Drosophila melanogaster: one gene and its partners. The gene in region 1 interacts genetically with each later gene. Each region holds a gene or a part of one and is shown on either strand. Other genes may lie near its edges. The genes, in order: Med, gbb, anchor and Smurf.

Region 1 (9,519 bases):
ATGAATGGGAACGAGTTCTGTCGTACATGCGTTCGTGCTGGATGCGTCCGCTGGCGTTGCTGTAGGTTGCCTCGCAGTAGCGACACTGAAACAAAGCATTCCCCGCATGCAGTTCTTGGTGGCGCCGCAGAAGCGTAGCAGTGTAGAACTGCTGGGAGCACTGGTCACAGGCAAAGCTCTTTACGCCGGTGTGTCGGAGGAGGTGCAACTTGAAGTTGCTGGGGCAGGTGAAGTGCCGGCCACACTGCTCGCATATGCAATCCCGCTTGCGTCGCTCCCGCTTTAGGGCCACCACTTCGTCCTCGGTGAGTCTGCTCCACTGGGTGCGCGTGGCCTGGCTATTGTCCGCAAACTTAACGGAGGTAAAGACTGTGGGCGTGGTCTTTGTACTTCTGCGGAGCTTCTTCTCCTGCGCAGGAACCTTCACTTGGGGCTGCTCGTTCTGCTCACATATTTCGTACGGCTCTTCCGTCTCTTCCAGCAGGTGTTCCTCGGGTAGAAGGTCTATAACCTCGATCTCGGTGACCTCTTCAGCGTACTGAATCTCCTTCTCCACACCAACTGCGAAGGATTCGATCAATTCCGCGTTCCCCAGGTTGGGACTTTCCTGCAGCGTTTTTTGGGTTCGAATCACACGTTCCCGGAAAGCAATCGCCGTCTGCAGGTCCAATTCGCAGGGTGAGCAAATAAAGGGGGGCAGCTCGTTCCCGGGTCCGCCGAGCAACTACGGATAATCCAGACTTAAGTTTGAAAACACAAAAATAGAAAGGTACTCACAAACAAACCAGTAAGAACCTCGATCTGGTGCAGCATTACGGAATTGGGCTCCTCGAAGAGGTTACTGGGCGTCGAACAGAAAATGAACAGGCCGCAAGTCCGGCAATTACGATTCGGCATTTTTAAACTTATTTATTTAGTAACACTTAAGAAAAAATTAATCAGAAAATTGCTCTGCTTTTCATATTGTTGCTCCTTTGGCAATGCCAGACTGTTATAGCTAAGAAGATGTGGCACCGCTGCCACAACATCGTAAGGGGGATTCCTGAACAGATCTTAATTTTTAATTCGATTGATTATTTGATATTACTTTATTTGATTACTCGCTTTTCTCCATTCGATTTAAGAGTTCATTTCAAAAATATTACCTTATTTGCAGTGCTTACGCAAAGAGAATTCCTTACAGTGTAGATTCAGGTGGCCACTATATAGCTTGAGCAGCTGATTGATGTAAACAAGCTTACAATAACAAATATTTCCAGATTGTAGAATATTCCTAAGTTTTTCCAAATTTAAGGATGCATCTAAACGAGAACACCAAAATACTGGGTCACAGGGTCATCCTTGTGCCCTACGAAGCGCGCCACGTGCCCAAGTACCACGAGTGGATGAGCAACGAGACCCTGAGGGAGTTGACCGCATCCGAGGAACTGACCTTAGAAGAGGAGCACGAGATGCAAAGGAGTTGGAGGGAGGACAGCGACAAGCTGACCTTCATTGTCCTGGATGCAGAGACTTATTCGCGTGATCAGGATGAGATTGCCGCCATGGTGGGCGACACCAATCTCTTCCTGCACCAAGATCCCGATAGCCAGATACCAACGGCGGAGGCGGAAATCATGATTGCCGAACCTTATGCACGGGGCAAGGGATTCGGCAGGGAAGCCATGCTCCTCATGCTCAAGTACGCCCAATCGCAGCCCCAGCTTAAATTGGATAAATTCGAGGTCAAGATCGACATGGACAACGCTGCATCGCTGCATTTGTTTAAGAGTTTTATGTTCGTGGAGACGCGTCGAGTGGAGATCTTCCACGAGGTCACCCTGGAGCGACCTATCACTCCAGATTGGATCAACTGGCTGGACCAGCAGGTGGATCTGCGTATGCAGTGCTATCAGTGAAAAGAAGCCTTTAGAATCGTAATTTCACGGTCTGTTTATTACACTTATGTTACATCTACTTGTTTCGCTTGCCTTATTTATGCTGCATTTTACATCAAATGAATGTATTTATGGGTGCATCGATGTCTCTTTTTGTTTCGCCCTGTGGCTTGGATGATTGTAATGCTGTGTATGCTTCTCGTTTTTTTTTTTTTTAATTTGTAATTTTCGTGGCAGGAAATGGACAACAAACATTGGCCGCTTGTTCAGTATCTCCGGTGTTGTGTGGGCGTATATTTAAGTATAGTACATAAAACTAGATGCTTAGTGCTTTACAGCTGCATACTTAAGACTTCTAAGTTGTTTCAATTTTTTATAAAAATTATTATCAAATAATCAAAGGCAAACATAATCGTAATCAGAATTGCAAATGAAAAACACAAAATCCGCAAATAGCTGACGGATAGCTGCCGCTAAAACTGAGTCCTTAGCATAGATGTGGGCCAATAATAAATACGGATTAGGCGGCGGCACGCGGGCCATCGATCGGCATGGCGTGCAGCACTTCGTCCAGCAGCTGCAGGGCGCGATGCAGGTGCACCTCGATCCAGCAGGGCGTTTCTTTGATGGACTGGCGTGGGTAGTCAGGTCCCCAGCCCTTGACGAAGCTCAGGCGCAGGATGCATAACCGGCGCAGATCGTCCACGCCAATTCCAGCCGCTGCTGTCATGCCTGGAATACCGCATCAACACATTAGTTTTCCCTAAATCAAACTGATTCCATCTACTTACTCCTTCCGCCGCCGCCCATTTGCTGATTGGCCACTCCGGCCACGGCTGCCGCCTGAGCAGCGGCCGCTGCCTGCGCATTGGTCGCCAGCGAGTGCATCTGCTGGTGGCACTGGCGCAGGTCAAACACCTGCATGAGAAAATGTATGTTAAGCTATCACATTAAACTCTCTTGATTGCACCAACCTTTATGCACGCGGCCGGATAAATCTTGTGCACAGCATCGCCAGGTGTGCGTCCTGCCTCGCGATCCAGATAATAGCTTTGTACGAAAACTGAATTGTCACTAAGACAGCGCAGCCAGACGTCGCCCTCCCCACGCAGATCCAATTGCACGCCCTTGCCGATGTGGAGCCTGCATGGAACTTGGTAATTAATCCCTGCTCTGCAAGTTACTCCCAGGGGGATGTACTCACCTGGCCCGTTCCGATTGTTCAGTGCGATGAACATTGCTCAAGGCGCCCAGACAGAATCGATTGCCTCCAGAGGGATCCACATAGCCGTCGATGATTACGTTCGGTTTCGCTGACGGCACCTTGAAGGTCTCGCCCACTTGCGTGTCCAACTCGAAGTATGCGATGGAGCACCAGTATTCCGGCGGCGGTTGGCGAGACAGGAGGCGTGGTTGCTGCTGTTGTTGTTGCTGCTGCGGAGGCGTCTGTTGCGGGGAGCCGAGGTCACCCGAAAGCGACGAATTCCCTGGAAAATGAAGGACAGGGATTACAAAGTCGCACAGTGGGCTACATAGCCTAGACTTACAGAAGCCCCCGGGTAGAGAGCGCGGATCTGGTGGTTGCATAGACTGCGTGTAGGTGAGGGTGTTGGGCCCTGTCCAGGTGCCAGCCGCACCGCCTCCGGCGCCAGCCTGAGCCCCAGCAGACCCAGTATTGGCCTGCACACCGGTCGGTGGCTGCTGCGGCTGCTGTGGTGTGGGTTGGGCTGTGCCAAAGACGCCACCACCTCCAACGGGAGCACTGCCCGCGGATCCTGGCTGCGACACGTAGCCGTTTTGCTGGGCGTGGACGGACGGGGCCACCGAGGTGCCACCCCCACCGGCACCTTGCATCTGACTAACAGGAGGTGGCTGTCCATAGTACTGCCCTCCAGCTGCTGCTCCACCGCCGGCATTAACTGATCCATTGGGCACACCGCCTGATTGCTGCTGTTGCTGCTGCTGCTGTTGTTGTTGCTGCTGCTGCTGCTGCTGCTGTTGTTGCATGGCCAGTGCGGAGGCGGGATCTGTGGGCGAATTGGCCTGGGTATGGTGCACCCCATTGCCCTGGGGATTCTGAGCCTGCTGCGGCGGGGGTGGGGGTGCCATCACGGGACCGGGATTCATTGGACCAGGCATGCCCGGCATACCGTGAGGCACAGCTGAAAGTTGATTTTGGGAAAAGATTAATGTGTATTCAACTAATTGTTAATAAGACAAATATTATAATAGTTTAAAATCCAACATATGAGAAAAATTGTAATTAAAATTCGATTTTCGAAGCTTCAACTATAATCAAGGCCATATCCTTACGGAGTGAGTGAGCAGCTGCCTGCGATTGTGCCTGCTGCTGCTGTGTAGGTTGCGGGGTTTGCTGCTGCGGCTGCTGCTGTTGTTGCTGCGGGGGCTGACCCAGCCGGGGGGGAGGCGGTACCATCCAAGAGCCACGCGACCCAGCAACTCCATCCTGGGGCTCGATTTTTGGTATTGTGCGCCCGGTGGGAAACATTGCACTCATGGGATTGGCATCGCCAACTACGCAAAGTCAACATAAAATCGCCAAAAGGAAACAAATATAAATAAATTATTAAAACCAAAGAAATAAACGAATGTAAACAATTAAGTAAAATGAACAATTCAGTTTAAAATTATAAATAATATAGAAAAATTATCAAGAAATCCAGTATCGAAAACTCAAACTATATCGAATTAATGTCAATACTGTAGTCTTACCATATTCAGAGGGACCCTGTGGATATCCGTAGCCGCCGGGCCCCACCATTTGCGTGGGATGGTGCTGTATGGTGCCGATGTCGTTGCCATCGATGTCCATGCTGCCCACCAGCGGACCCGCTGAGTATTCGTCCTTCACCAGGCGACTGGGGCCCGACTGCAGACTCAGGCCGGACAGATCGATGCCCGGAGAGACGACGCGCTCGTAGTGGTAGGGATTCACGCACACCGAGTCGCACTTGAGATCGAAGGCGAAGGCGCAGTACTTGACGTGCTTCAGCTCGTTCTTGTGCAGGTCAGGCCAGCGCCAAATCCGGGCGTATATGACGTGCGGAAAACCCTTGCGTCCAGCAACCTTCGATAGAGAATGGTAAAGTGGTAAGTTCATTGCTTATACACATTATCAAATTCGATGCAGAAAGTCTGAGAGACTCAACCTACCTGCAAGCGACCATCGAGGGTGCGCTGTATGGTCACGCACTTGCTGGGATGGGCTCCGTTCGTGGTGATGGCCGTGATCAAGGAGTCCAGTTCGTCGCGCTTCTCCTTGAGCTTTTTGACCAGCGACTCGATGGCTCGCTTGGCAAATCCCTCGCTTTCGCCGCCCTGCCGATGGCACATCAGCGAGTGGACGATGCTCAGACAGGCGTCCGCCGATGTGGGGGCGTTCGAGGGCGGCGGCGGCATTTGCACCATGTCCCGGACAATTACTGCAGATGGTGGGGGTAATTAGCTCTGAGTTTTTTTAGTAGATCAACGGATACTGTACAGCTCAATCCAATTTCATTTTAAATTTCAAAGAGTTTCAAGTTTATCAACAGTAAATAATAATGCTACGGTAAGATTTAGGATTGTCCACAATACTTGGCCACAAATCGATTTTAGAATAACAACTCGAAAAGGAGTTCACTATGACTGCTGCTCCTCTAGAGAACTTCACTTACTGTCCTGCGGGGCTACGGCGCCGTACATGTGGGCGGGCGGACACGCCCCCGAGCCGCCGCCCATGCCAAAGTCCTGGGCGAGCGAGCCCAGAGTGCGAGCATGGGCATCCACGGCGGCGTTGTTGCTGGATCCGGATCCGGAATGGGGATCGTGAGCGGCGGAGAGCGGAGTGGGGATCGTACGGTGGCTGGAGCAGGCGTAATCGAAGCCGGCGGCGGGCAAAAACAAGGCGTAGAATCACTGGCCAAAGAAAAGCCAAACAAAGGCGGCACGCGAATGTGAGCACAAAACAAACGGCGGCTGGATGGCTTTGTGTGAGTGGGCTTGGGGGGTGTTGCACACACGCATACACACACACACGCGCGCGCTGAACTAACTCGACTTGAACTCCCACAAAGTTGGCGTAATTTCCCTGCGAAAACTCTCCTCTCCTTCGTCTTCTCCACCTCCTTCTTTACGCACACTGGCACACGCACTGCACACACACACGCCCAGCGAGAAGTTTCCTGCTCAAATCCTTGGTAGAGACTGGCTTTTACTGTTTTTCGTGGAATTTCATAGTTTGCACTTAATTGGCTGCTTGGGAAACTCGAAAGTACAATTTTCCGCCCGACGAAATCCAGTTTTCCAGCCAATTTGCCTTTTTTTCCTTTTTTATTTTGTTGCGGCTGTGCAGAGTGACCGTTTCGCGATACAACATGGGCGGGCGTTGCCAGATGGGCAAAGCGCGAAATACCTACCTTGGATTTTTACAAACACCTAGTTTGGTCAGTTCTCGAAGATTTGATTTGAGAATAAGTTTATATTTTTTGGAAATAAGAAGCAAGAAAAGCAGATACTGATCAAAACGCAGAGGCATCCGGGTAAGTGCCATGAGATTTGTTACACCGACTTACACTCATTTCGCGGGCTGTTCAGTGCGTAAAACGAACTTTTTGAAAGGCCGAAAATCAATCGCCACGCGTTTTTTCCCATTCGCATGTGTGTGTGTGTGTGACGAAATTGAGGAAAGTTTCTTATCGTTGAGATTGGGGAAAATCGAAGGCTGAACATCTTGTGCAACAAGTTAATTGATGTTTTCGCATTCCCATTGAAAAGTTTCTTTCCATTGCTTTAATTGCTAAAATTCATTCATAAAAAATTGCCGTTGATGAGTCGTTTGTGTGACAGGTTGTTTCTAGAAATATGCATGTGTGTGTAGTGGGGCCTGAAATAGACCACCCCCTTCCCCTCTTCTCTTGAAAATGTTCACTTGGCAACAGTAACGAATTTCCTTTTCGCCGGAAATGCATTTCTCCGGCTTTTGTAAAACAGTTTGCTGCGTAGTTTCCATCTTCAAAATATCTTATCAAAATGCGTAATTTCAACGCTTATCTGAACGGAATTTCGATTTGCGGCGTACATATGTAAATATGTTTATATTTTGGCAATGACATTGATTGTGAAATTATGTGTGGGAAGTTTGCGATTCCCTGCCAAAACAGAAGCTTCCATTTGTAATAGTAATTTGGGAACTCAATTTAACTTCGAGGATTTGTTGCCCTCATATTTTTTAATTCCCTAACTAATTAAATCACTTGTCATAAAATTGTCTACATCCCGCATTCAGAAGCATAAAGTTATTATTTAATCCCTATCAGGCTTACGGTGTTGAAAATTGTTCGACACCAAAAAGAATTATTGCGGGCTTATTTGAGTTCGGTGTTCAAAATTGTTCGACATCAAAAAAGAATTATTGCGGGCTTATTAGGGTTCGATAACATTACAGCGAAATGTTAGTTAACAGAGAGAATCGAATAACATACACATCGATAGTGAGGGACTATCGCTTCCGCTGGCTTAGGGTATTTTATAGTACAAATTTCAGTTCGCACCAAATCTGTGGAACTTGTAGGCCTACTGGTAACACTGGTCGCTCACAATATTCTTCATTCGTAAAAAAACAACAAAGCGGAGAAGTACCGTTTTTGCGAGCGCGAGTGTTTGAATGTGTTTGTTTGCTTAGGAATAGAAAATAGAAATTGAAAAGGACCAAGTGCAAACGTACAAAGCTTTGCTAAAGCAGAACTAAAAAAAATCAGCAGGAGGAAAATGCACAGCTGATGGAGAAAAGTCCCAAGCACCTTCAGCCCAGTGTGTGTGGGAAAAATCGATCCGCAGACGGGAAAAATTGAGGATAAAATGCCAGCCTAATAAACAGAGTTCCAATTGTGATACAAACGCAGTACAAATTAGTTAACAACTAGCTTAAATGGCCAACGACAAGGTTTTATAGCTAACTATCTGACGCAATTGAATAAGCGTAAAGCTGCCAGCCAATTTATTCACTTATTTTCGAGTGCAATAGAAGCAAAAATTCACAACTAAACAAAGTTCATCTCAACATTCCTGCGCAACACAAAACAACAAAATGGCTGTAAAAACGTAAGAAAATGCTAAATTTATTTAAGAGTGGAAAAGTCGATAAAATGCAAAAAGAGAATCAAGGTTTTTTTCTTCATCTATCAGATGATTTTGTTTGTAGGAAAAAAGAAATTATATTAGGCATACATACAAAATTCGTTCATTTACGTGTTTGTTTCGCTTCCATTTGTTTCACAGCTGTTTGTCTGGTGTTTGTGTGTGTAAGCGAGAGAGTGGATTTGGGGTCCGCTATTCGTAGGTCGTTGCTTACAGAGTGAGCGAGAGGGTCGAACGAGGGGTGGGCGAGGAACTATGCTGCTTGCAGTGGTATGTGTGTTTGAGGGGCTGTGCTTTTTATGCAAGCTGTACAACATACATATGTAATGAGACTAATGTACGCCTTTGTTTCCTTGGCACCGCCTTATTCGCCTAGAAAACCCATTCCTATTGCCTTCCCCCATTTGCATATCTGTTTTATTTCCAATTTGCGTCAATTGTTTTACTTCATATTCCCCTTTTCCTTTGTTGTTCTCCCCACAATTTGTGTGTTCCGCTTCCAAAGTTCCCTTGCCATCGTACACACACGCGAGCTGCAAACAAAGACTTTGTATGTGTGTATGTTGTTCCCATTCGGATTTTTACCTCATACACACACTCACACCAGCACAGCAACTTGATTGGTTTGGGAGTGTGCGTGCTCTGGCTTGGAATTGCGTCAGCCAAAAATAAAATATGTGCGACGGATAAAACTACTTGTTTTCGTTTCAAAAACACTTTTGCTCATTTTAGGAAGCAACTTGTTTCTGGAAAACACAAGTAACAACTGCTATTACATTCCGTTTTGTACCCCGTTTCTCCTGATTTCACCTTCAGCGCATTTACTTTGTTTTCTGGGTCATATTTGTTGATTTCAATTTGTTGCGCAGTCGCAAAGTCGCGCAGAATTGCTTAATTTGTTGATTTTCATATTTTCCATAGCCTCCAAAATAATATAAATACAACGCATAAAACGACCCCACGCACGCATACTAATGAAACAGTTGGGTTGGTGTGGGTGTGTGGGTGTTGCTGTACCGTTGTTTTATTTATTCCTCTCCACACTTGTTTACATGTAAAAAGGTCTCTTCTATTCTCTGCCTACCTTCTTTGTGGAATGAATAGAGATGGGAACGGGTGTGAAAAGGGGAGAATTCATCATTAACCCTTAGGTGGGCAATGTCCAACTATTTGGGTCACGTCTACTAAGTAAGTCGCTTTTGGAATAAAGAGATTAACTTACAATTCCCGTTTATATATTCCCCTAAAGCCATTGAACCAAAATGATTAGTTTAAGGCTAAATAACCCGAAATCCAGCTGACATCTATTTGGCTTCCACTTGTGGTTAGGGTGGCGCCTTTTTAGCAGATATCGTCTGCTTTCTACCTGTTTTCTTCGATTTCAGTATGCCATGAAATTCGTGTGTCTGCAAAACGACAGACGGCCCAAAGTGAAATTCAATGCCAACACTTGAGAGACAGCTGACCATCCCAAAAAGCCATATGTACATATATACCACGATTC
Region 2 (7,247 bases), on another chromosome or scaffold:
ATACATTGTTAACACTAACTGATGCACTGCGTTTTCCGTAGAAGGGGATGTACAATGCTTCCGTCTGATAAGCAAGGAGGCCTACGAGGAGCTAAGCGAGACCAGTCAGCCAAGCCTGCAGACTATGCAACTGGACAAGATCTGCCTGGCGGTGAAACTACTCTCACCCAATACGATTATAAGCGAATATCTGGGTATTACCATCTCACCGCCACCGCTGATCAACGTGCACCATGCCGTGCAGTTCCTCAAGAAAATAGATGTGCTCGATGACGCCGAGGATGTGACCTGGCTGGGCTGCCGCCTGATGGACATCCCGGTCTCCTGTCAACTCGGCCGCATGCTGATCTTCGGCATCCTGCTGCGCTGCCTGGATCCAATACTCACGATTGTCAGCTCTCTGTCGACGGCGGACCCGTTGGGCATTCCGTTTACCGAGGACATCGACAACTTGTGGGACAGGTTCACCATCTACATCCAGAACAGCATCAAGAAAGAGCGGACCTACCTGTCCGACAATCAGTTTTCCGATCACTTCATCTTCGTGCGCTTGTACAAGGAGTGGCAAAACCGAATGCACAACAGGACGCCGCCGCTATACCTTAAGGATGAGTATGAATTCATGCTGAATGGCCTGATGGAGCAACTCACCTCCATTCGTTCCGAGATCGTGAGCTCCTTGCGGGCAGCCAATTTGATTCACAGCCGAGGTAAGCTGTCGATGAACAATCTCAACCAGATGTCCTGCAATTGGCACATGGTTAAGGCGGCCCTCACGGGCGGAATGTATCCCAACATCTATGCCGTGGACACTAGAAAGAGTTCGCTAAAGTCGGCCTTCTCCGGGAACGTTTCCATGCATCCGAACACCGTGCTCCGCGATTTCTTGGAGCCACTGAATATTTCGGCACAGAGCTTCCGCACACCGTGGATTGTGTGCAACAGGCAGAAGAGCCACATTGTTTACGCCACCCTGGTCGTTCCTCTGGCTGTTGCCATGTTCTCGGGTAAGCTCGAATGAATTTCATGTTATATCATTCTGGTTATCATTCATTTTGTATTAATTAGGACATCCACGGATTCGCCTCTCCCCGATCTGCGACAGTGAAATGAGTTTGACCGATCGCAACGTGAACGTCTTTATAGACGAATGGATCTGGATGGTTATGTCCAAGGCTACGGCGGAGATGGTGATGCGCACGCGGTATTACTTCTTTAAAATGTACCACGACTTGCTGAAGCACTGCAGCGAGCTGGACATGTGGCGCCGAGACTGCGAGCCAGTTTCCCAATACACCGTGCTGACTGATACGCTATCGAAGATCTTCGAGAGTGAGGATGGATTCGTGGGCTTCTTCAAGCCTCCGCCCATAACCTTTCTACCGACGCCCCAGCTGCCATCCTTGTACCTCCTGTCCGTTAACGCCCACTTCAGTTGGGCCCGGGAAGTGGAGGAGAACATGCTGTCGAAACCACACCATTTCAATTCGCACTTCATCGAGAGGCAGTTCTTCGTGCTCTACGCAGGCGGCGACTGCGAGGAGTTCCACAGCAGGAACACGCCAGCCTTTATTGAAAGTGTCCTCGGCAAGTTTGTCAGACCCATCGACACGCCCAACCGGCACATCTTTGTGATCCTGTATAGAAAGGATCCCGATATGATGCTCAGCATTAGTCGAGCCAAATTCGTCAATGGTGTATTTATGTTGCAGGAATACTTCCGAAACAACATTCCGGTGTTTGAAATCTTGTAAGTGCAATCCAAGTTGCGGAGAATACTCCAGTCTAATGTGCTCTCCTTTCAGAGATGCGTGTGTGTCGTTGAATGTGCAGACACCGGTGTTTGATGGCCGCCTGATGTCGGCGCTAATTGACAAGCGTGTCGGCAACTTGATTATGGAATTGTTTGCCTTCCGCCACCACTGGATTCACAAGCGATAAAGCCCGCTTCCTCGCGCATATTGCCTGCTTCCCTACTAATTGAGTCCTAAAATAATTAAGAATGATCCAAAGAAGCGTGCCGAAGTCCAAATAGGACTTGATTGTGCCTTTTATTGCTGTGAAATGACTGTTAATTTTAAATGAGAGCTAACCAGAATCAAAATACGTACTTTTAGTACCACATTGCGTCTATCATCGTTGTTTTGAAATATTTGAAATTTGTGCATCCCAATCATGAGTAGATGTGAGACAATAAAGAAGAAGTATCTTTTAATACTAGCCACAAATGAAACTCCTCAAGAGACGAACTTCAGTTAGGTACAGCGCTGTATATTTTTGTATAAAAATATTCGAGATTAGTACAGAGATGGACATCTACACAGAAATGCTTTATATATATAGTGCTATAGTGCTTAGCCTAAGTGGTAAATTGAATTCAATGGCACCCGCAGGATTTCACAATCATGTTTCTATACTTTTTCAGGTTCACATTCTCGTCGTTCAGGTGGTACAGAACGGGTAGTGCTCCCAGCCTGGTCGGAGCGCAGCAGGGCTTGGGCACCTTCTTCGGCTCCAGCAGGTGGACCAGGGTCTGGACGATCGCATGGTTCGTGGCGTTCATGTGCGCATTGAGCGGGAAATTGCACTCGCCGCTGCAGTAGAAGGCGCCATAGCCCTCTGGTGCGATGATCCAGTCATGCCAGCCCAGATCCTTGAAGTCTATGTACAGGGTCTGCATCTGGCAGCTGCGCGTGCTCTCCATCGGTTCCAGCAGCGGCACGTTGTTGGGCGACACCGACTTCTTGCGCTTGCGTGGATGGCTGGCGCTTCGCTTGCTCCTGTGGTGGCTGCTGTGGGCCGTCGCCTTGATCAGCTCCGGTCCGCGGAAGAAGCCGATCATGAAGGGCTGGAACTCGTCGTCCACCTTGCGGTGGATCAGTCCAATGTCGTCCAGCTTCACCTCGCGGTCGGGTCGGTTGACAGCGTGTGCTCCAATGTAGATGCCATGATTGTCCTTCGACTTGACCAGCCACTCGTGCAGGCCCTCGGTCACGTTGAGCTCCAACCAGCCCACGTAGTCCCCGGTGGTGTTCACCGAGGACAGCGGCTCCATGGTGTGCTGGCCCAGCGTGCCGGTGCCAATGGCGTATACCGTGATGGTGAACTCCCTGTTGGCGGTCAGCCACTTGCCCTCGTTGGCGTTCTGATAGATGCGCAGCTCGGCCATCACCAGGTAGTTGTCGTTGGGCACGTTGGAGACGTCGAACCACAGGCGACGGCCGTGCTCGTGACGCAGTTCGTCCACATTGTGGTGGCGCTTGTTCAGGAAGGTCATGATGATGTCGCTCTCGTCGATGGCCCGCTTGTCCAGGTCGGTGATGAAGTTCTTCTGCTGCTCGCCCTCATCCTCCTCGAGGTCGGCGCTCCTCCTGGACCGATGGCCGCGTTCGTAGTCGTCGTCCTCATCCTGATCGCTGAGACCCTCCTCCGCCGTGATGCGGTGGTAGACGTCCAGCAGGAACTTGGGAGCCGACTTCCTCAGCGACAACTGGTGGCTGCTCAGGTGCGTCGGCCGTTCGGCGATGCCCAGGAACTCGAGGATCTCGTACGAGACGTCCAGCTTGTCGTCCTCGCTCAGCACTCTGTGCATGATCGTCTGGTCCTTGCCGTTGTCTATGTAAATCCCCGACTGGGTGGCCTCAACGGCCGGCGGCGTGGTCGCCACGAACATGAGCAGAACCATTCCGAGTCCCAGGGAGGCGAGCACTGCAACGGCCTCCGAGGTGTTTCGCAGTCCCGACATTATTTCGTGTTTTGGACGGATCGGTTGCGATCGCTGTTTTTCTATATCTACGGCGCTATCCACTTGCGATAGCTTCAGATGTACAGTGGCATTTAGTTGTTTATTTCGAGAGTTCCAGCGAACCGCGGGTTCTGAAAATTCTGACGCACTTACGGATTGTTGTGTGTATCTTAATCTTCAAGATGCATTTTCTTTCTATTTCGCGGGAGTTGGCAGTCCCGCGACTTGGAAAATGAATCGGTCTTGAAGATCGAACTAGAAGATCCAACATAGTAGTTCATTTCAGCTGCGATCGTGAGCAAATATGTGGTTTAATAGCTTCAAAAAAAAAAAGAAGAAACTGTGTAAATGTAGAAAATATAACGTTTATATTGGCAAAGTTCGTAATATTTTGATATTTTAAACTATTTATGGAAGTGGTATTGACGAAAGATTTGTAATTATGAATTTGTTAAATTTATCATAGTCCGGGCATAATTTGAAATATAATATAGGTAATGCTATTAAAAAATATTAATTAATATATATACATAGTTCATATTCAAAAGGAAACAGATCGATTTAAACATTCGGTATGCGATATACATAGGATACATTTTTATCGAAGATAAAATCGACCATCAATCGATATCCGATAGGTGGCCATGTTTTGCCCTTGCATCGCATCCCTCGCATCATCATCCGCATTCTGCATTCCTCATTCCGTTTCGGCGTCGCGGCGAGATAACGCGCGTTGTTTATTTGGTTTTAGTTTTAAGTTAGCGCGTTTTTACCCACCGCCGGTGTCGCCCAAATAATGCTAGACACAGCCTAGTGCAACGGTAAGCGGGATGCGTGCGGTGCAATTGGAGTACATGGAGTCTAACATCCGCTCAAATCCACTGCAGGCAAACCATCATCAATCACTCAAACCGCCACACAAGCAGAGACCGAAACGGAGCCATGGGCCGCAGCCGAAGTCCCGCCTCGCCGGCGCACAGGAGACGCGAGAAGGAGCGATCCGAGCGGAAGAAGCGCAGGGAGCGCCGTTCCCGGGAGCGGGAGGCCATCGGAGTAGCGCCAGCCGGAGGATCCGGATCTGGAGGCGCCGGTCGCCGCGACCGGGAACGGGATCGCGACCGCAGTCGCAGCCGAGATCGGGAGCGGGAACGGGAGCGCGACCGTGCGCGGAGTCGGCGATCTAGGTGAATAAGAAAGTGTAGTGTACCAAATGCCAACCACGATAAGTATAAAACTAGTCACTAAAATCGGGGATGTGGGTCACAGTTCAGGGGCGTGCTGGATAACCGTGAAATGGGGTTTAAATAGCAACCAATATTTATAAGTTTAGGATAAGCTTAGGGAGTGTTTGTGTAGATTTAGGAACACATTCCAACACAGGGGACAATTGACCCCTCAAACCCCCGAAATCGCCGTTCAGAACTTGTTTATTTACCCACGAGTATCGATAGACCCACACTTCGATAGGCAGCCAATCGATGGCTATGCAGCTCTGGCGTCCCAACATCAAAAAAAAATTACCACGTGAAGCGAAATTGTGCGAATTTCATCACGACATTTAAATTGATTTCCGGACATATAAACAGAATCCAGAACTCATCCGGCAGCAGGCTCAGTCAGGCCAGTAAATCCGAAAAGAGAGTAACCAGCAGGAAAAGAGGATCCACGTAAATACAGAGAAAATGGCTCTACGCGTCCAATTCGAGAACAACGACGACATCGGCGTCTTCACTAAACTAACCAACACATACTGCCTGGTGGCCATCGGTGGATCCGAGACCTTCTACAGCGCCTTCGAGGCGGAGCTGGGCGACACCATCCCGGTGGTGCATGCGAATGTGGGCGGCTGCCGGATCATCGGCCGCCTCACCGTGGGCAACCGCAACGGCCTGCTGGTGCCCAACTCCACCACCGACGAGGAGCTGCAACACCTGCGTAACAGCCTGCCAGACGCCGTGAAGATTTATCGTGTGGAGGAGCGCCTGTCCGCGCTGGGCAACGTTATCGCCTGCAATGATTATGTGGCCCTGGTGCACCCGGATCTGGACAAGGAGACCGAGGAGATCATCGCGGACGTGCTCAAAGTAGAGGTCTTCCGCCAGACCATTGCCGACAACTCACTGGTGGGCTCTTACGCCGTGCTGAGCAACCAGGGCGGCATGGTGCATCCCAAGACGAGCATTCAGGACCAGGACGAACTGTCGTCCCTGCTGCAGGTTCCCCTCGTGGCCGGAACAGTGAACCGGGGCAGCGAAGTACTCGCCGCCGGCATGGTCGTCAACGACTGGCTCTCCTTCGTGGGCATGAACACCACGGCCACAGAGATCTCCGTGATCGAGAGCGTCTTCAAGCTTAACCAGGCACAGCCCGCCACAGTGACGACCAAGCTGCGTGCGGCCCTCATCGAGGACATGTCCTAAGCGAAACTTTCCCCACTTTCTACTTGATATAAGGATTATCTGTTATCTTCTACATTTCATTTAAGAAATACAAAACACGAAACTAAAACAAAGTCTGGGAGCTGCAAGCATCAATTAGCTATTTTCCAATGGAAGTTTTTGAGATATAAGCTAGAGGAATAGAGGAATATTGTCTGTTAGGTATATAAATGGATTCAGAATGGATTTTAGAGGGATCTTGAGCTTGATTTTAAATCTTAGAATGAAATTCTCTAGCATATGCATATACAAGCCGGTTATTTTGGGTCTTCAGATGATTGCCAAAATCGAGACGTAAATATGGTCTTTAATGAAGCCAACCGACCGGTTGAGAAGTGTCGCATTTCGCGTAATTAAAACTTCATATTGCACAATCGGGTGCACAACGCCCAAGGTCGCCCCAGTTATTTCCCAGGCTCGTTGCAATTCGAATGCAATCAACTGGTCGGTCCTGTCACTCAAACGAAATCTATAGAACACTCACCACTCACTATGCACACACATTCATAATTTGCAGATCGCGGTCGAGGGTCGCCGGAGGAGGAGGAGGAGGAGGCGGCGGCGGAAGCAGCGGCGGCAACAGCAGCTCCGGACCATCGACGTCGCGAAGGACGACGAGGAACAATGCGGCGGCCACAGCTGCCGACCGGCCCAAGATCAACGAGGCGGACCTGGAGGGTAAATCGCCGGAAGAGGTCGAGATGCTGAAGACAATGGGATTCTGCACGTTCGACACCACCAAGAACAGGAAGGTCGAGGGCAACGATGTCGGAGAAGTGCATGTAATCCTCAAGCGAAAGTACCGCCAGTACATGAATCGCAAGGGTGGCTTCAACCGGCCGCTCGATTTCGTGGCATAGCAGTGCCTAGCAGCAGCCGTTGGCGTTGTCCTTGCAATTCCAATTGCCATTGGCCATCGCCATCGCCATCGCAGCAGCCACATCCTTTTCCGTTGCCCAACTAGTTTGCTACGCTTTTTTACTTGTCCGTGCCCAATGGGCAATGGGCGGCGGACGAAGACCTGCAATTTTATGCAATAGACCGGTTTACGAAATTCAGCCAGC
Region 3 (8,012 bases), on another chromosome or scaffold:
GTTCAGGGGCCTGGCGACCAGCAGCGAGATGATCAGCACGGCGAAGAAGACCACCGCCTTGGAGACGAGCATGGCCAGAAGGAAGCTCCAGTTGACAGCGCTCCAGTTGAGCTCGACCAGGGACAGGAAGATCAGCGAGGGCAGGGCGAAGGTGCCCACAAACGTGCCCAGACCCTTGGTTTCCGCATTGCTGATGATCTTGAAGCGTCCGGCAATGTAACTGCAACAAGGAGCGAGTAAAAGGGGAACACATTACACCACTAATCATGTTGTAAAGGCGTGTCGGGCCACGCCCCCCTCACCAAAAGGCGTATATTTTTAATGCTAATAACCCAGCCAGCCGGAAAGGCGGAAACTCTTAATCAATATGTACAGTGTACTCTACATGCATATAAAATACATTCACCGCAGCCCCACACGTGATCCACTCGTAAACCAGTTTTATTTCGGACTGTCTCTTGGCTAACAAAGATTTGTAAACGTTTTTTATTTTCGAGCGAAAATCTGTATTTCTGTCACATTCGACGAGACAAATTAATTTGTCTGTTAATCTGGAGTAGGGAGTACTTCCCCCTGCCTTAAACGAACTAGTTTAGCGACCTTTTCTTATGACTCAACGCGATTTATTGCATTCACTGCATGTTGTGGGAATAACCTGGGGAAGCTCTTATCTCCTTAAGATTTGCGAGACTGCTATTGTTAATATTGGCAGAACTCAGCTTCTGCGTTTGCGAAGCGCCATGTGTCATAGGTTTCTGTGAGAATGCTTTTTCCTAGGAATGCGAAACCCTTGTAGACATTATCTATGTTTTATTTAGCGTGGAAGAGGTTACAAGACATGACTGATAAAGAAGTGTGCCTATGCGAGAGCCACAAGGGCGGAAGATGAAATTACAGTCTCTTTATTAAGCAAATATAGAGAAATTCTTCATGCCCTTTTCTTAAGAAATTCCTTTTATATTTATAAGATGGAAATCAGGAAAATACTTGATAAAAATAGTAATGAATGAAAGCCTTATATATGGGTCTCCACTTTAACATTCCCTTGGGTCTGAAATACAAGTTTTAACAATTGTTGTCTGTGAGTAAGGTCTGTCCACAGAATTTGTACATAAACAAAAAGCTAGACTAAACAGAAAACGTCAAAAACTTTTTCCTTATTTATCTCGCTCATTTATCTGTTGAGCAAAACAAGTGTTCTAGAAACTCAGTCGAGAGAAACGAAATCCAAATTAGTCAACCGGGTAAAACTCATTAATGTACATACATATATACCTCTAAAAAAGAAGTAAAGCTTAATTGGCAAACTGTGAGGATCGGCACGCAAATATTCATCTTACGTGCCCAAACAAAGTGCAAGTTCATTATATTATTAATACTGCGAACCGACCTGTTGGGCAACTCTCGCCCAGAATCCGATGAAGAAACACCTGCGAATGTCTATGCTATTATCAAACTATTGCTACAGTTAAAACCATAACGAGTCGAGGTGTTTATAGCCCCTGTATTATTGGTAGCGCTTATCAGGTTATTTCCAGCCTAAATCATAAAGAAAAATGATCACAGCGAGTCAATCAAATTCTCACAGCGAAAACACACACAACAAAGATTCATCAAATAAATGATTAAATATAATTTCAATGCGATAACAATCGTAAACAAACTTTAATTGCATTACGAGCAGCACTTAAAACTGGAAGCGATGTGCATCTCTTCGCTACCCTTTCATAACAGCGTGTCAAAAGGGTGATAAATATTTGCATTTGGGGAGACATTTGATTGACATAGGGATATGATTTACGTTTGCTAATACTTGGAATTTGTACTTCAAAGAAAATAGTGAGGTATTAAAAGCTAATAAGTTGAAGAGAAATATTTACCATACGAAATTGAGTTATTACAAAAATCAAAAATCAAATCAGTTATAGATAAGTCTAAGAGCTAAAGCAATCTATTTTTCTCAATTACATTTACATTTTAAAGGCCGAATAATGATAAGGACTAAAGGCAGGGTATTACCTCAGTTGGCTTTGCAAGTGCAGAACGAAATTCTAAAGTCAGATGCCAACGAACGCGAAGGGAGAGCAGTTAAATAACATATAATCGCATCCGACTTTGTAGTCGAGTTTGTATAGGCGATATCAGTAGCTGTTTGCTTGAACAGTTGGATGAGGTGCATCTGCCTGGCGGTGGATCTTTGGGTGGGCATGCATATCGCCAGTAATTGGCAGTGGTCGGTAGACAAATCGGTAATTGCGGTTGCATAATCCGTACAAAAAAGGTGCAAATATTGCCTCAGGTGGAGTGGCTCGATACTGTTTACGCTGTATTGCAAGGTCATTGCTGTAATTGTTTATACCGATTTTGTACGTTTTTTCTCGCACTCTCTAAACGTTTTACTTTCGATTATTGCCCACTGGCAATTAAGTTTCGGCTTAGATGCATGTATAATGATTGATATGGGAGCTAGCAGCGCAAATTTACAATTTACATATGCCGCTCCCCATTGTTATTGAGCAATTTTTTGTATGTCAAAGTTAATAGGTGCTTCACGGCAATTTCCCAGGAAAAGTGCCACGACCGGCGGGAATTAGTTCAGATTTATGAAACCGCCTCTAATTATAACTGCTAAATCGGTGGTTAAACATTGGGAAAAATTCCAGCATACGCCAGCAGAGATATTCCCTATTAAATAGCCGGAACATAATGTTTCAAAGGTTTGGATTTTCACGTGAATGATCAAACAATATCAGTTAACGACCGACTTGCAATGACTAATCGGAAATTTTGTAATTCAAATAACCTTTGCAAACGCCAACAAATTTAGCATAACATTCTTTCGCAATGCATCAGCAATTAAAAGAACTGCAGCATAAATTAAAGAAATAGAGACAAAATCTAATCAACAAATAGGCATTGGCCATTAGGCAACTCTTTTTATAATAGATCGAAATTAATTTTATGGGGAATATTAGGCTAGTTGCTGCTGCGGAAAAGCCTAATTAAACCCGAATAAATCTCTTTTGGGTAATTCCGTTTCTAAAAATAACAAAAGTTAATTTAGCTGATTTCGGATAATTGCTGAGTTTGTTTGAAGAAACAAACGATTGAATCGGAGTACGCACAGACAGTGAGACAGCAGTTTGCCACAGATAATAAAATTCGAGTGTCAATTGATAAGTGGGTGAAAACAAATCAGAGAAATTGAAACTGAATCGAGACGGTGTCCGTCATAAGTGCTGGTCACTGTACAAGTGACCGCACGTTCCCCATAATCGTTGCGATAAGGGGTGAAATACATACGTTCGAGTTAGGATCCTACGTGGGATGTGGCAAGCTATATTGTAACTTCAATTACTCAAACTATCTATCTTTTAAGAATATCTAAGCAAACTGAAACGTTTTATTGGTAGTTTTTTACATTTAAAGAGTGGTATTTCAAGATTATTTAAGATTCCTAAGAATGTTTGTTTCTTTCCTTAAAACTATCTATTTTTGATATTTTAGCAAAGAATGATTACTTTGCTTCAGTGGTAGCTATAATTTCCCTTTGAGAATAATTTAAATTGGTTTATTATTGGTTTATGACTACTGTGCTGTCCCCTAGTGAGCTTGCTAATAAAAAGTGTACACAATGTTCTGCCCAATAAAGTAAATAAAACCGAATTAGGGCTGTTTAGCTGTACCTAAATCAAACAAAGGCTTGCAAATGAGCTTTAGGGGTGCGAGCAACCTGGTGTTTTTGTGTTTGGGGTGGAATATACGGGTAATCTTATCGGGAAGGATGCGTGGGACCACTATCTAGGTGCGAAGTTCCCCAATATATCTACTAACCCGCAAATGATGATGCCGAAACACTGAACCAACGCCGGGTAAAAGTTGTTCATGGATACGCCCCCGTCGTCGGCGCGTGGCGTCGCCGTTCCATTGGCCAAAGATGAGGCCATGGTCGAGGTGATGACTCTGACATTAGCCTCTGTGCTGGCAGCAATCCGCTGGCTGGCGTAGTACATGGAGCTGTCCATTGGGGACTACTGTGGAGTGGCTGCTAAGCGTGGGAGTTCACTGTTAGTGGGCGACTCTGCGCGTCATAGCGGAAAAAGTGGGGTGCTCCGGTGGGCCAAGCAGCTGATGGGCCGTGACGTCAAAGGGCCAGCTGCGGATTTATTGGATTTTCGCCGACCTTTACTTTATGTTGCTGGCAAATATGTTGCTCTATTATTTAATCGCTTATCTACGCAGTTTTGTTTGCCAATTTGATGGTTGTTGTTGTGTATTATTAGCACTCTATTTTCCTTCAATAGTCGAAAATGGTCGAAAATCGCAATGCCCGGCAGGCTGATTTCACTTTCATCTGTTCGAACGACGCATTGCTGATTTTTGAGTCCGCAGCACTTGCTTTTGGCAATTAAACGAATTTATTAATTTGCGCAAATTAACGTAGTTAAGAGCTCAAAAGCGCCCGCCGATGCGTTTTGTTTTTAATTTGCAATGCGAATGGTGGGACCGCAGCGCGGTCGTTAAGTAATACCAGCGGGGCAACCAAAATGTACTAAAATACACCATTTATATGTTATGAAAATACCAAACAAAAATACTAAGGCAGTGCTACAAAGAGACCGTTAAAATATCTGTTATTTACACAGTTTTTCCTAAAATTGAACGACATATAAGCTAAATATCGAACCAGTTAAACAAACCAGTTCGAATGAGTTATCTTTCCAAATTACAATAAAAACAGTTTCATTTAAGAACAATAAGTCGTTGGTTGACAGACCTGCCAAACAGTGCTGCCCACCAACACTGTACGGTCCAAACAGCTGATTGGTATAGGAAAAAGAAGAAGACAATTAGTCATCAAACAAAATTTGTAGAACGAATTAAAGTGGAAAACCCACAAATTTCCCATAAATTTTGCGTGTTGTAGTTAAAATAATAAAGCAGTCAATATGAATCGCCTTTTTGGTCGTGGTAAGCCCAAGGAGCCGGGTCCAAGTCTAAACGATTGCATCGCCGGGGTAAGTGTCGAAATCATGGAGAAAACAAAGCAAATAACAATTTATTACACTCAACAGGTCGATGCCCGAGCAACAAACATCGAAGAGAAGATCAGTAATCTGGAGGCAGAGCTGCGCAAATACCGCGAACAAATGTCCAAGATGCGAGAAGGTCCTGCCAAGAACTCCGTGAAACAGAAGGCCCTCCGGGTTCTCAAACAAAAGAAGGCGTACGTTCAATGCCCCACCCACTGCCTAGTATCGATTATATTCCAAACCTCCAGTGTTACTCTTCTCCAGACATTTGAAATTATCATTTCCTAATCTATAAGTTCCATTACCTTATGAAATTTACATCCACAATCAATTTTTTTATTGTGTCCTGTTCTAAATGAGTATTTTAAACCATTTTGAACTTTATTTGTTTCCTACACAGCTACGAACAGCAGGCAGAATCTCTGCGCAACCAGTCGTTCAACATGGAACAGGCCAACTATGCGGCGCAATCCTTGAAGGATACTCAGGCCACCGTGGCGGCCATGAAGGATGGAGTCAAGCAGATGAAGACCGAGTACAAGAAGATCAACATCGACCAGATCGAGGTAAGCATAGTTAGCTGGAAAGAGATGGAAATGTCCCAGAAATATGAACATAAATTAATTTTTATCCTTTTGCCTAAAGGACATCCAAGACGACATGGCTGATATGTTTGAGCAGGCGGACGAGGTGCAGGAGGCACTGGGCCGCACGTACGGCATGCCTGAGGTGGATGACGACGACCTGCAGGCCGAGTTGGATGCTCTGGGCGATGAGATTGCCTTGGACGATGACACCAGCTATTTGGATGACGTGGTCAAGGCTCCGGAGGCGCCGAGTCGAGAGCCGGGAGCTGACAGCATCGTCCCTGGAAAGGTATAATGCTGCTTATATGGATAGCAGCTTGATTGCTTACTAACGAGCTAATTTCTTACAGAGCACCATTGAAACGGATGAGTTCGGCTTGCCCAAGATTCCGACATCGCTGAAGACCACATAGGCAAGCTGCCAAGCTGCCAGCTCTCATGTTTCCATTCTTTATCCTTTGTTGAACCTTGGGCACGCTTTGTATATTTTATGTGTAATGGAGCCATCAAAGATTCCCTCTCAAGTCTCACTTTTGTAACCATTTGTTTTTTCAATAAATAGCCGTTTAGTTATCACGCCACACTAATGACGCATTATATTGGTTAATTTATGAAAGTTAATATATATAGTGAAAAAACATTAATATATTTCAACTTCAAACTTTCACTTAATTCAGGGAAAGAAATTATTATTATTTATTATTTATTAGGTTTGTGCTTAAAAATTTTAACAATGAAACATTCGTTCTTTAGTTTTTATCCAGCGGTTAAATCAATTAATATAGTTTAAATTGTAAATTAAATAGTTTGACCCTTTTTTGATCGGATGTACAGCTGTACGTATACGTGATAAACACTTAAGTCAAAAACTCATTTCAAACAAAATTTGGTGAGCTTGCAGAACAGGTAAGAAGAAGCTTGCCATTGAATTACGATATTTTCAATTTAAGTAAGTTTTTGAGTATAAAAGTGAGTATAATGTACTGCTTACTTTTTTGAGAAAGCAGAATACTTGCTGAATGAGTTTCCGCCGCATTGTAATTGAAATGGATTTAGCGTTAATCGAACGCAAAGCAATGTTAATATATTTTTTGGCCTTGAAATTAAATAAGGTGTTGTTGGAAATAAAGTACGCAAAAACAAAAACTATTTCCCACAATTTCGACGTACAGAGGATGCACTGTAGCTCCCTACTCTCTTTGGCTCTCCCTGCAATTGCAATTGCATTCCGCTCTCTTAGCCTCGCTTGCGCTCTCTACGCTAACGAGCTTTGAAGTTCAGAGCGTGAACTTGAGCGTTTCTCTGCCGTTGTCGTCGCGAGGTGGAGGTGCGCTGGTGTGCGTGAGCGGGTCTCAGTGCAGCGCAGTGCCTGTGTGCAAAAATACGCTTGTTCGCCGTTTAGTTGTCTTTTGACTGCTGTAACGGACAGTCGCAAATTTTGCCCCAACTCTGATTCGAGCGATTCGAATGCGAAGAGGAAAACCTTCGCTTTTCAAACACGCATAACAAAAACCAAACAACAAAACAAATTAGCAGCAACAAAAATCAATTGTTCAAACGTAACTGTAACTGCAGCGTTCGCGCCAACCGACAGAACGCCCGCTCGCCCGCCCGCCCACTTTTCCCGCCCACCGTCGTCGTCGCCGCCGTCGCGTCGCTAATTAAACGCTTTGCTACCGATCAAAAGTGCAATCCCAAAATATCAAACAAATAAAATGCGTTACAAAGAGTTCTGAAGCAGCAAAAATCGCGCGAAGAAATCTCGCTGTTCAAGTGGCCTTAGCGTGATGATTAAAATGTCAATTAATTAATCCAAATATCTGGTGGCATCTGACAGCCTTTGGTCGGCTTTTCCCGCCCTCCCCTGACCACGCCCCCGCCCCCATAAAGAAAAGTGCCTGAAAGTTTATACATATTTACACAAGAATTTTAGAAATTAAGTGATAAATCGCAAAGTAACTGATAGAAACTTCGAGGCAATAGGGTATATGATTTTTTTCTGCCGTTGCCGGAACATTATGGATATATCGCCAATTGGATTACTTTTGCTTGAGATGGTAAGTGACTAATTCCAGAACCTTGTTTTCCTTTCGACCAGCAGATCGCTCATACGCAGCGTTGCATTCGCCGCGGCAGCGGAGTTGCCTCGAATGCAGGAAGCGAATGGCGCAAAAAAAAGCTCTCTATTTATTTCGTCATCGGTGCACATACATACATTGCACATAGACGCATGTATAGCTACATACTTGAAAGTTCGTGAAAGTGTTGAAAATTTTAGGAGGAAGAAGATCGGGGTGAAAAGTGGGTGGGAAAAATGCCTGCGCCTCCAGCGAAAATATCCTTTAATAATAGTTGCTAAAATCTGCAGGATCATTTTGTGTACTAGAATTAT
Region 4 (7,827 bases), on another chromosome or scaffold:
CAGGGAGTGGAGGAGCCACCCGGAATGATGGCCAGTAGATTGTCCCAGCCCCCGATCACTCCGCCAGCATGGCGTTCGATAAGCTCTCTGGTTGGCATGGACATCTCCTCCTCGACGGTACAAGGGTTGCAAACATGACCAGAGATATTAAACAGCTTGGTGCCAGAGTTTCGGGTACGTCCAAAGCTGGCAAACCAATTGCCACCACGCCGGCAAATAGTGGGAGACACGGCCACCGTTTCCACATTGGTCACCGTAGACGGACAGCCAAAGACGCCGATATCAGCCGGAAAGGGAGGCTTGTTCCTTGGCTTACCCGCCTTGCCCTCCAGGGATTCAATCAGAGAGGTTTCCTCACCGCAAATATAGGCTCCTGCTCCACGTTGCACATAAAGATCGAAATCGAACCCAGAACCGCAGGCATTCTTTCCCAGGTAGCCAGCCTTATAGGCCTCAATAATGGCATACTGAAGATTGCAAGCTTCGTTGTAAAACTCTCCGCGAATGTAAATAAAACCAGTGTTGGCACCCATAGCCCGTCCAGCAATGAGACATCCCTCTACCAGTTTGTGTGGATCATGGCGCATTATCTCACGATCCTTGCAAGTACCGGGCTCTCCTTCATCCGCATTGACCACCAGAAACTTGGGTCTTCCATCAGGCGGTTTATGCATAAATGACCACTTAAGTCCACTGGGAAATCCGGCGCCACCGCGTCCTCGCAGTCCAGATGTCTTAATCTCGTTGACTATCCACTTGTCACCCTTGGCTATGATCTCCTTCGTCTTGTACCAGTCACCGCGCTTCATTGCTGCCTTCAATCGCCAATCGTGCCGTCCGTATAAATTGGTAAAGATTCGATCAGCATCAGCAAGTGGTCCAAAAGTAGTTTTCGTCTGCGGTGGTGGAGTTCCGGGCGGTGGCCCCTTTGGGGGTGGTGGAGCGCCGCTTTTGGCAGGCGGAGAACCGCCCGTCGGCGGTGCAGAAACATTTTTAGGTGGAGGAGAGCCTGCCGGGGTGGCCGGCCCAGATCCTTTCGGTGGAGTTGATTCCTTGGCATCCACAGTCACAATAGTTCTTCCTTGTAGAGCAGCATAATTCCAGCCTATAAAATTATCCCTCAGCTCGTCAACTTTCTCATCTAGTCGAGATTTCTTTCTTTTAGCCATATCTTTAAGCCTTTTTAACAAATTGGCCTCGAGTTCTCTTTGGTCGGCTGGATCTAAAACCTTCTTGGCATTTTCATTAATAGGAAATTTCGTTGTGGGCGGAAGTTTCTCAGCTGGAAATTTTGGGCAATCTACTTCGGATTTTTTTATGCTTTCCCTTTTTTTGGCTCTTTGCTCAGAGGACAGCAAATCGTCGTTACAATCGGTTTGAGATCCTTCTCTCATAATCAGCACAGGTTTGGCTGGCCGCAATAAGAGTGGAATAACGCTTTCAGCGTCACTTAGTTGGTTCTTCTTCACATTTTGTATGCTAGAAGTTCGGTATATGTTTACCAGCTTGATATTTCCAGTTTTATTACCAGGTCGTAAGGCATTTTGAAGGCTTTTTACTTCTGTTAAGGCTCTATATGCACGAGTTAGTCCTAATGAAATCTTGTAAGCATCACAAGCTCGGCGTTTTAACAGAAACGATATCATGCTTTCGTCTATATTCTTTATCTGATTAACTGAACTCTTTGGCAAGTGTGTTGAATCAAAGGAAAATTCAAAGCATACTACTTCCACATTTTTCGAACTTGATATGTTAAAAAAGTTTACATTACTCACAATAACGAATATCGGAAAGTCCCATTATGGATTTTCCCTATAATGACCGTAAGCCCCGCTGGGTTCAACTAAAATCTTATCACAAAGAATCGATAAAATATGAAGAACCAACTACTAGTGTACAATGTATATGGTAGTAGAGGGAAAATAGCAAATGAATGCGCCATATTCTGTAGTCAACCACGGAATTCAAGCATTAGCATTAATAAACAATTCATTTGAAGTGACACCAGCGGCCACAGACCCATTTTCGGAAACCCAAATATCCCCCTATTGGAATCTCACGGATAAGGAACATCGAATGTTTTTTTTTTTTTTTTAGTAGCACATTGAACAATGCGTGGCGCGTGATTTAAGTGCAACCAAGTGTACAAAAATGGACAAGAAGTGGAAAAAGCGAATAGTAAATCACAAATACACAGAAAGAAAAAATATTGCGATTGTATTTGTGGACGAGCGAGTGAGTGAGCCGCAATGAAAGCAAATTAGTAATAATCACTTTTGTTATATCTAACAAAATATGGGAAAAGAGCTCAGATATGGCGCACCACTCGCACTCACCCACTCGACTTGATGGGCGCGATGGGGGGAGGGGGCTTTTCCGCAATTTGTATAAAAATGAAAGTAGACAAGAAAGGAAGTGCTAAATTTAGCGATACCTTATATGCATAGATGAATGTGAAGAAGAGGAAACAGCAGCACCACAAGCGCCGCAAATAAAACAAAACTTTAATTTACCACAATGTGTGTTTCGATTGGACGGCTAAACAGGTGCGTAATTGATGGTTTTCGAAAAGAAAACCAAACGTGAAAACAAAGCTTGCTGGGTCTGGCGAATGCCAACTGCTCCAAATTTCCCGTAACTAACCAAAAGTGAGTCAAGAAATTAGCCCAAACATGTGAGCAAATTACGAAAATAAGTGATTACGCCAAAGGCATGCTGGGTAAATAGTTTTAAGGAATTTTTTGCTGTTACATTTAATATTTTATAACACTAACGATTAAGAAGTACAGGGTAAAACTTTTATGCTTTTGATGACCGGAAGTTCTGCTTTAGGAACTAATTTAGACCGTCCTATTTGACGGATAGGTGATAGGCACTAAGGAAATTAGATGCTAAGATATATCCAATTAATATTAAAATACTTACGAAATAAATCCTTGCGGGCCAAGTTTCTAGCACACAATACTGCAAGTAAAGCGATATATTAGTGGGTTTTATTAACAATTGTTTTTATCAGCAGACTTACTCGTTATTCGAACTTTGTGTGTACCATTGCGACGTGGGTAATCCAATTTATTCATAATTTTCGACTTTTAATTGATATTGTTTGATTTGTATAAAAATAAATGGATTTACTTTGTGTATTGATTATTTATATGTCGCGGGCATGTTGTTGTAGTTGTTGTTGTCGTTAAAGCGCCGAACGGAGAGCGAAGAAGAAGAAGTGCAAGTAGAAGGTGGAGGAGAGGAAGCAAAGGAGGTGTAGGAGGAGCAGGTGAGGGCGGTGAGAGGTAATTTCATTGCCGAAGGTAACTGCAGTTGTTATTGTTGCTGCTGCTGCTGTGGCGGTAGCCTTGACGGTTGCAATTGTTGTAGTTTTTGCGTTTGTTGCTGTGTGTCATGGCACACGCACATAGATATATTTGTATATAAATAATAACACCGATTTGCTTTTTTTATAGGCTGCAATCCAAAGATAACAAATGGAAATGGGTATTATTAGTAAGTTCGTTAGAGATAATGTGTGTATTTTCCCCCCAAGTGCAAAAACCCAACCCAAAAGCGAGGGCGTAGGTAGGAAATCGTTCAGGTAGGCAAAATATTCACGAAAAACTCACCCGAAATTGTTTTGCTGGTGTTGTTGTTGTTGCTGCTGCACCTCACACGCACATGTCTCGCTCACTCTCTCACGCACACACACACGGACGCAGTTCACGCATGCTGCAGGGGAGAGCGGGAGCGGGGTTCGATCTGTCTCTCTCCCTCTGCCACTCTATTATTTCACAAATTGCATTAAATGAAATACCACTGTGTGTTTAATTAACTTTAATTTAGTCGCTGCTCCAGTATGGGTGCCACACTATTTACTCGCACTAGTATTTCCTTCGCTATCGATGTGTGCGCGAGTGTGTGTGGTACTAAAATTTGCAATAATAATCAAAGGAGGCACACTTGTATTGTTCTAGTTCACTAAAAATCGGACGAAAACTCTGCGAACAACGCACGCCCACACAGTTGCTCGTCCACGGAACGCTTGATAGTGCGCGAATTATGCTGCCGCGGCCTCACGCGCTATTGTTTTACGGATTCCCATAAAAATTTAACTACAACTTCGAACGCCATTTTTATTAGTGGTGGCACAAAGTCTAGTGCTGAGTGAAAAATCGATTACTCTCTTATACTATCGATTTTTTAGTGCTAATATTCTTGGAAAACATCGCATATTGTCAAATATATATATATAATACGTATGTAGTCAGATACTAAATTTAAAACAGCATGAAAACTTGTTCAGTGATGGTAAACAGTGATCTCGTTACCATCTACAAGCTTTGATTTACAATATAATTGTATGTTTTTGTTATATTGTTACTATCGAATTAAACTACTATTGGCTATCGGTTGTAAATCGATGAGTTTAGCTGCTACTCAAACCATCCTTCTTAAGCGCAAACAAACAAACACATTTTGGCGGAGTTTTTGTTTACCTTTTATTTTGCGCAAAAAGTAACAATGTCAATTACTCTAGATTTTAATGGTAAGAACTTTGCCAAGGGTAAGAATTTAGACGTGCACTACTTGCCGGCCAAAATAGACGGCGATGGGGAAGCGAATGTAAAAAATTACTTCAACAACTACACACGTGAAGCAACCGAATTCGGCACAGGAATCCTGACGAACGCCTTGCGCGGATTTCCTTTAATGGGAGAGAAGTTGAAAGTGCCCGAAGGATACTGCGGATTAGTTCTGCAAGAAACAGAGAAGCCCATCAGCGATACCTCCGACCGAAAGTTGCGGCTAACTGGAGTATTTCAAGATTTTACTTACTGGAACTACGACAAAGTGCCGTCCAATGGCGATCCCTACCGACAGGCCCTTCCTCTGCCGGATGTTGCTCAAGCTGTATGTATATACCACTATATATTCTCGAAGTACACCTAATAAATACCACATTTTATTTATTTAGCTCTCGCAGCCCATTAGCGAAGAGGATTTAGAGAAAGAAATCGCTCGTAATAAGGAAAACGTCAAGGAAAGCACGTAGTTTTGTTTTAATCGCGCTTACCGCGTTCTATTTATTACTCCAAAATCTAATCCAATACATATATATCGTACATTTTATCTGGTATAAAACGTGGTATTGATGTTTAAATAGGTTATGCTTCACTCATCAGCGTCCTCGAATCGCTCTTCGTCGTCGTCCAAACTGAGATTCTGCACGCCGTTGCGCCCAAGCGTCAATGCATCATCCTCCTCCATAGCCTCATCCTCTAAGCCACCGGCATCCTGCATAGGATCGCTGTCTTCCGAATCACTGTTTGCCGAATCAGGATGTAGGGCCTGGCAAGTCGTCATGGCACTGTACATAGTGTCTACGGTGTGAATGTCCTCCGGCATAAGCCAGCACTCTGTGACCTCTCCAAATTGCTCGTCTACGGCATCCTCGAAATTGTCGTCCTCATCGTGCTCATCGCTGCCATTTCCCTCGTCCACTTCCGCTTCCGAACCACCGCCATTCCGACCATTGACTGCCTGCTGGGGAGGATCTCCGTAGACGCCGTTCCACTCGACTTTGTGGTCCAGCATGAAGTAGATGCACTTTCTCGGATTCGAAGAGATACCGTGCAGGCTAACCTGCTTCCACTCAATGGATATACCCTCCGCCAATTCAGTTGGCTGCCAGGATAGCGTGCTAGGAACAAGAAATAACAGTTACTTTAAAAGATTTTAATAAATAGAGAGCAATACCAGACACCGGCAAAGCTCTAAAGCGCTCACTTTTGGGCAATGTAAACTGTGCCTTCGCCCACCACTTTGTCGCCTAGTTTCAGCTTGATATTGTTTGCCGTATACAACAGACCATGTTCCGGCGGGGAAACACGCATAATAAGAACCATTTTAATACAGCTTGTTAAATTAATTGTAAAAAGCGCGATCAAACAACAAAACTTGCAAAAATGCAGTGTTGAGTACCATTTTTTCGTCCCCCTTTTGAAAGTCTGGCAAGGGTGGCAATAACTAGGAGAGACAGCTGGACTCTGGCAACGCTCTGATGTATTTTCCTTCTTTGAATGTAGAATCATCAGAACAGGTGTTCTCGGAGGACAACTTCTTTCTTACCACTGTTGAATTTAGAAATAGATATATAAAGAATGGAACAATTTTGTCAAAAAAAGATAAAAACGTAGTACGTAATTGTGCTACCAGATCAGCGCGTACGATTTTCTCCCAAAGAGGTCTTAATTTGGCGCTCTAGCCGCGGTCACACTGGTTAGGTAGCGTCTCGTTCAATTTTCAATTTTAGCTGTTAAAATTTGCGATAAATGTGATAAATGCGAAGTTATATGCTCGCGCATCAAACCTTCGACAATAATACACTCCTCAAAACGAACCCATTACGGACAGAAGTGAAAGAAGTAGCCTTCGGGTTAACGAAACGAACTTGTCATTGTCCTTCCAAGTTGTTGTTATTTTCCTTATCCGTTGGCAGTCGTTATTATTGTTGTTGTTGTCGTTGTTCGTGGATATATACAGTGTTTACTCGATAGTCCCGACGGATAAACCACACAGATTGCATGGAAGCAACGATGGATACGGACCATGCGAACCTAAATGACTTCAGGGATCGCGATCTGGCCACGCGCATGCGCCGCTGCAATTACGAAAAATACAAATCCTTGGTGCGCATGCACCTATCGTTTGAATTGGAGCTCAATACGGATGAGTAAGATGGATCACCTTGGTATATGGCTGCTCACCACATTACTAACGATTCCCTTATATATGTAGATTCGATCTCCCCTGTCACGAGATTGTCTACGAGGACAAGGGCAAGCTGAAGAAGTGGAACCGCCTGTCTAAAAAACATCGTTTGGGACATGGAGCAGCTGCCACATCCTGTGCCGCCGGCTCCGCCAGTAAATCCGTGGGTAATAGTCCCACAGAGACACTGCAACAGCAGATTGATCCGGGATTCTTAATGCATCTGCAAGAGCTCAAGGAGTTCCTAATGCTGGAGAAGAGTAAGTTCGCTGAAGATCTCAAATTACGTTCATTAACTGATCCACTGTTTCAGATCTCACCCAGGAAGGCCTATTCCGCAAGGCTGGTGCGGTGTCCCGACAAAACGAACTTCGGATGCACATCCAGCACGACAAACCACTGAATTTGGAACTTGCGGGCTTCTCCGCTCACGATTGCGCGACCGTTTTCAAAGGTTTTCTATCCGAACTTCCAGAACCGCTGCTTACGGATGCCCACTATCCGGCGCATCTGCAGATAGCCCCACTCTGCCAGGCGCTCAATGGTCAGACGACTGCCACTGCTGAGCGTCAACAACATCTTCTCAACTCCGTGCAGCTGCTACTTCTCCTCCTGCCCGAAGAACATCGTGAACTTCTTCAGCACATCATTGAGATGCTGCATGCTGTGGCCAAGCATGAGAAAAGCAACAAGATGAGCGCCGATAACTTGGCCACTCTCTTCACACCGCACCTAATTTGCCCAAGGCAACTGCCACCCGAGGTCCTGCACTACCAGGCCAAGAAAATGTCCAGCATCGTGACCTATATGATCGTCCGTGGACTGGACATCTTCGAGGTGCCTGGAAAGCTGTCTACCGACATCCGGGCGTACTTTCTCGAGCGCAAAAGAAAGAAAACCATGTCGCCGGAACAAACGCTTGACGAGTCCATCTCGGACGTCTCGACGGTCAACACGGTGTACACTTTTGTAGACCGAGCCGCCACTGCAGCGGCCACCAATACGAACAATACGGACACGGAGCTGGCGCAACTTTATGCCCATATCCAGAGCATGCCGGAGTCC

What was found.
Region 2: of Med (region 1) and gbb, changing one suppresses a phenotype caused by changing the other (phenotypic suppression), as found in Drosophila melanogaster (one study listed by BioGRID).
Region 3: of Med (region 1) and anchor, changing one suppresses a phenotype caused by changing the other (phenotypic suppression), as found in Drosophila melanogaster (one study listed by BioGRID).
Region 4: of Med (region 1) and Smurf, changing one suppresses a phenotype caused by changing the other (phenotypic suppression), as found in Drosophila melanogaster (one study listed by BioGRID).

What each region holds. Positions count from the first base shown.
Region 1 is NT_033777.3:31,607,780-31,617,298, reverse strand, and holds Med (medea), read right to left. Parts: upstream 6,254-9,519; 5' UTR 5,619-6,253; coding exon 5,555-5,618; intron 5,321-5,554; coding exon 5,052-5,320; intron 4,989-5,051; exon of another isoform or gene 4,966-4,988; coding exon 4,611-4,965; intron 4,413-4,610; coding exon 4,191-4,412; intron 4,040-4,190; coding exon 3,425-4,039; intron 3,365-3,424; coding exon 3,082-3,364; intron 3,021-3,081; coding exon 2,852-3,020; intron 2,796-2,851; coding exon 2,669-2,795; intron 2,610-2,668; coding exon 2,398-2,609; 3' UTR 1,924-2,397; downstream 1-1,923. Other genes in the region: CG1792 (uncharacterized protein), read right to left, coding at 27-724, 778-897; Mnat9 (microtubule-associated Nat9), read left to right, coding at 1,296-1,898.
Region 2 is NT_033778.4:23,848,253-23,855,499, reverse strand, and holds gbb (glass bottom boat), read right to left. Parts: upstream 3,939-7,247; 5' UTR 3,746-3,938; coding exon 2,378-3,745; 3' UTR 2,253-2,377; downstream 1-2,252. Other genes in the region: bgcn (benign gonial cell neoplasm), read left to right, coding at 42-1,007, 1,069-1,750, 1,806-1,941; eIF6 (eukaryotic translation initiation factor 6), read left to right, coding at 5,428-6,165; ytr (yantar), read left to right, coding at 4,688-4,929, 6,701-7,043. UniProt on the Drosophila melanogaster protein: Required for the growth of imaginal tissues and for patterning of the adult wing.
Region 3 is NT_037436.4:17,618,316-17,626,327, reverse strand, and holds the start of anchor (anchor), read right to left. Parts: upstream 4,505-8,012; 5' UTR 4,026-4,504; coding exon 3,835-4,025; intron 221-3,834; coding exon 1-220. Other genes in the region: Vps60 (vacuolar protein sorting 60), read left to right, coding at 4,950-5,018, 5,076-5,227, 5,434-5,599, 5,679-5,909, 5,971-6,033.
Region 4 is NT_033778.4:17,589,103-17,596,929, reverse strand, and holds the start of Smurf (SMAD specific E3 ubiquitin protein ligase), read right to left. Parts: upstream 4,140-7,827; 5' UTR 3,618-4,139; intron 3,463-3,617; 5' UTR 3,081-3,462; coding exon 3,026-3,080; intron 2,965-3,025; coding exon 2,926-2,964; intron 1,664-2,925; exon of another isoform or gene 1,647-1,663; coding exon of another isoform or gene 1-1,646. Other genes in the region: ND-51L1 (NADH dehydrogenase (ubiquinone) 51 kDa subunit-like 1), read right to left, coding at 1-1,646; CG30105 (uncharacterized protein), read left to right, coding at 4,513-4,902, 4,967-5,044; icln, read right to left, coding at 5,164-5,692, 5,779-5,897; RhoGAP54D (Rho GTPase activating protein at 54D), read left to right, coding at 6,576-6,724, 6,790-7,022, 7,076-7,827. UniProt on the Drosophila melanogaster protein: E3 ubiquitin-protein ligase which accepts ubiquitin from an E2 ubiquitin-conjugating enzyme in the form of a thioester and then directly transfers the ubiquitin to targeted substrates.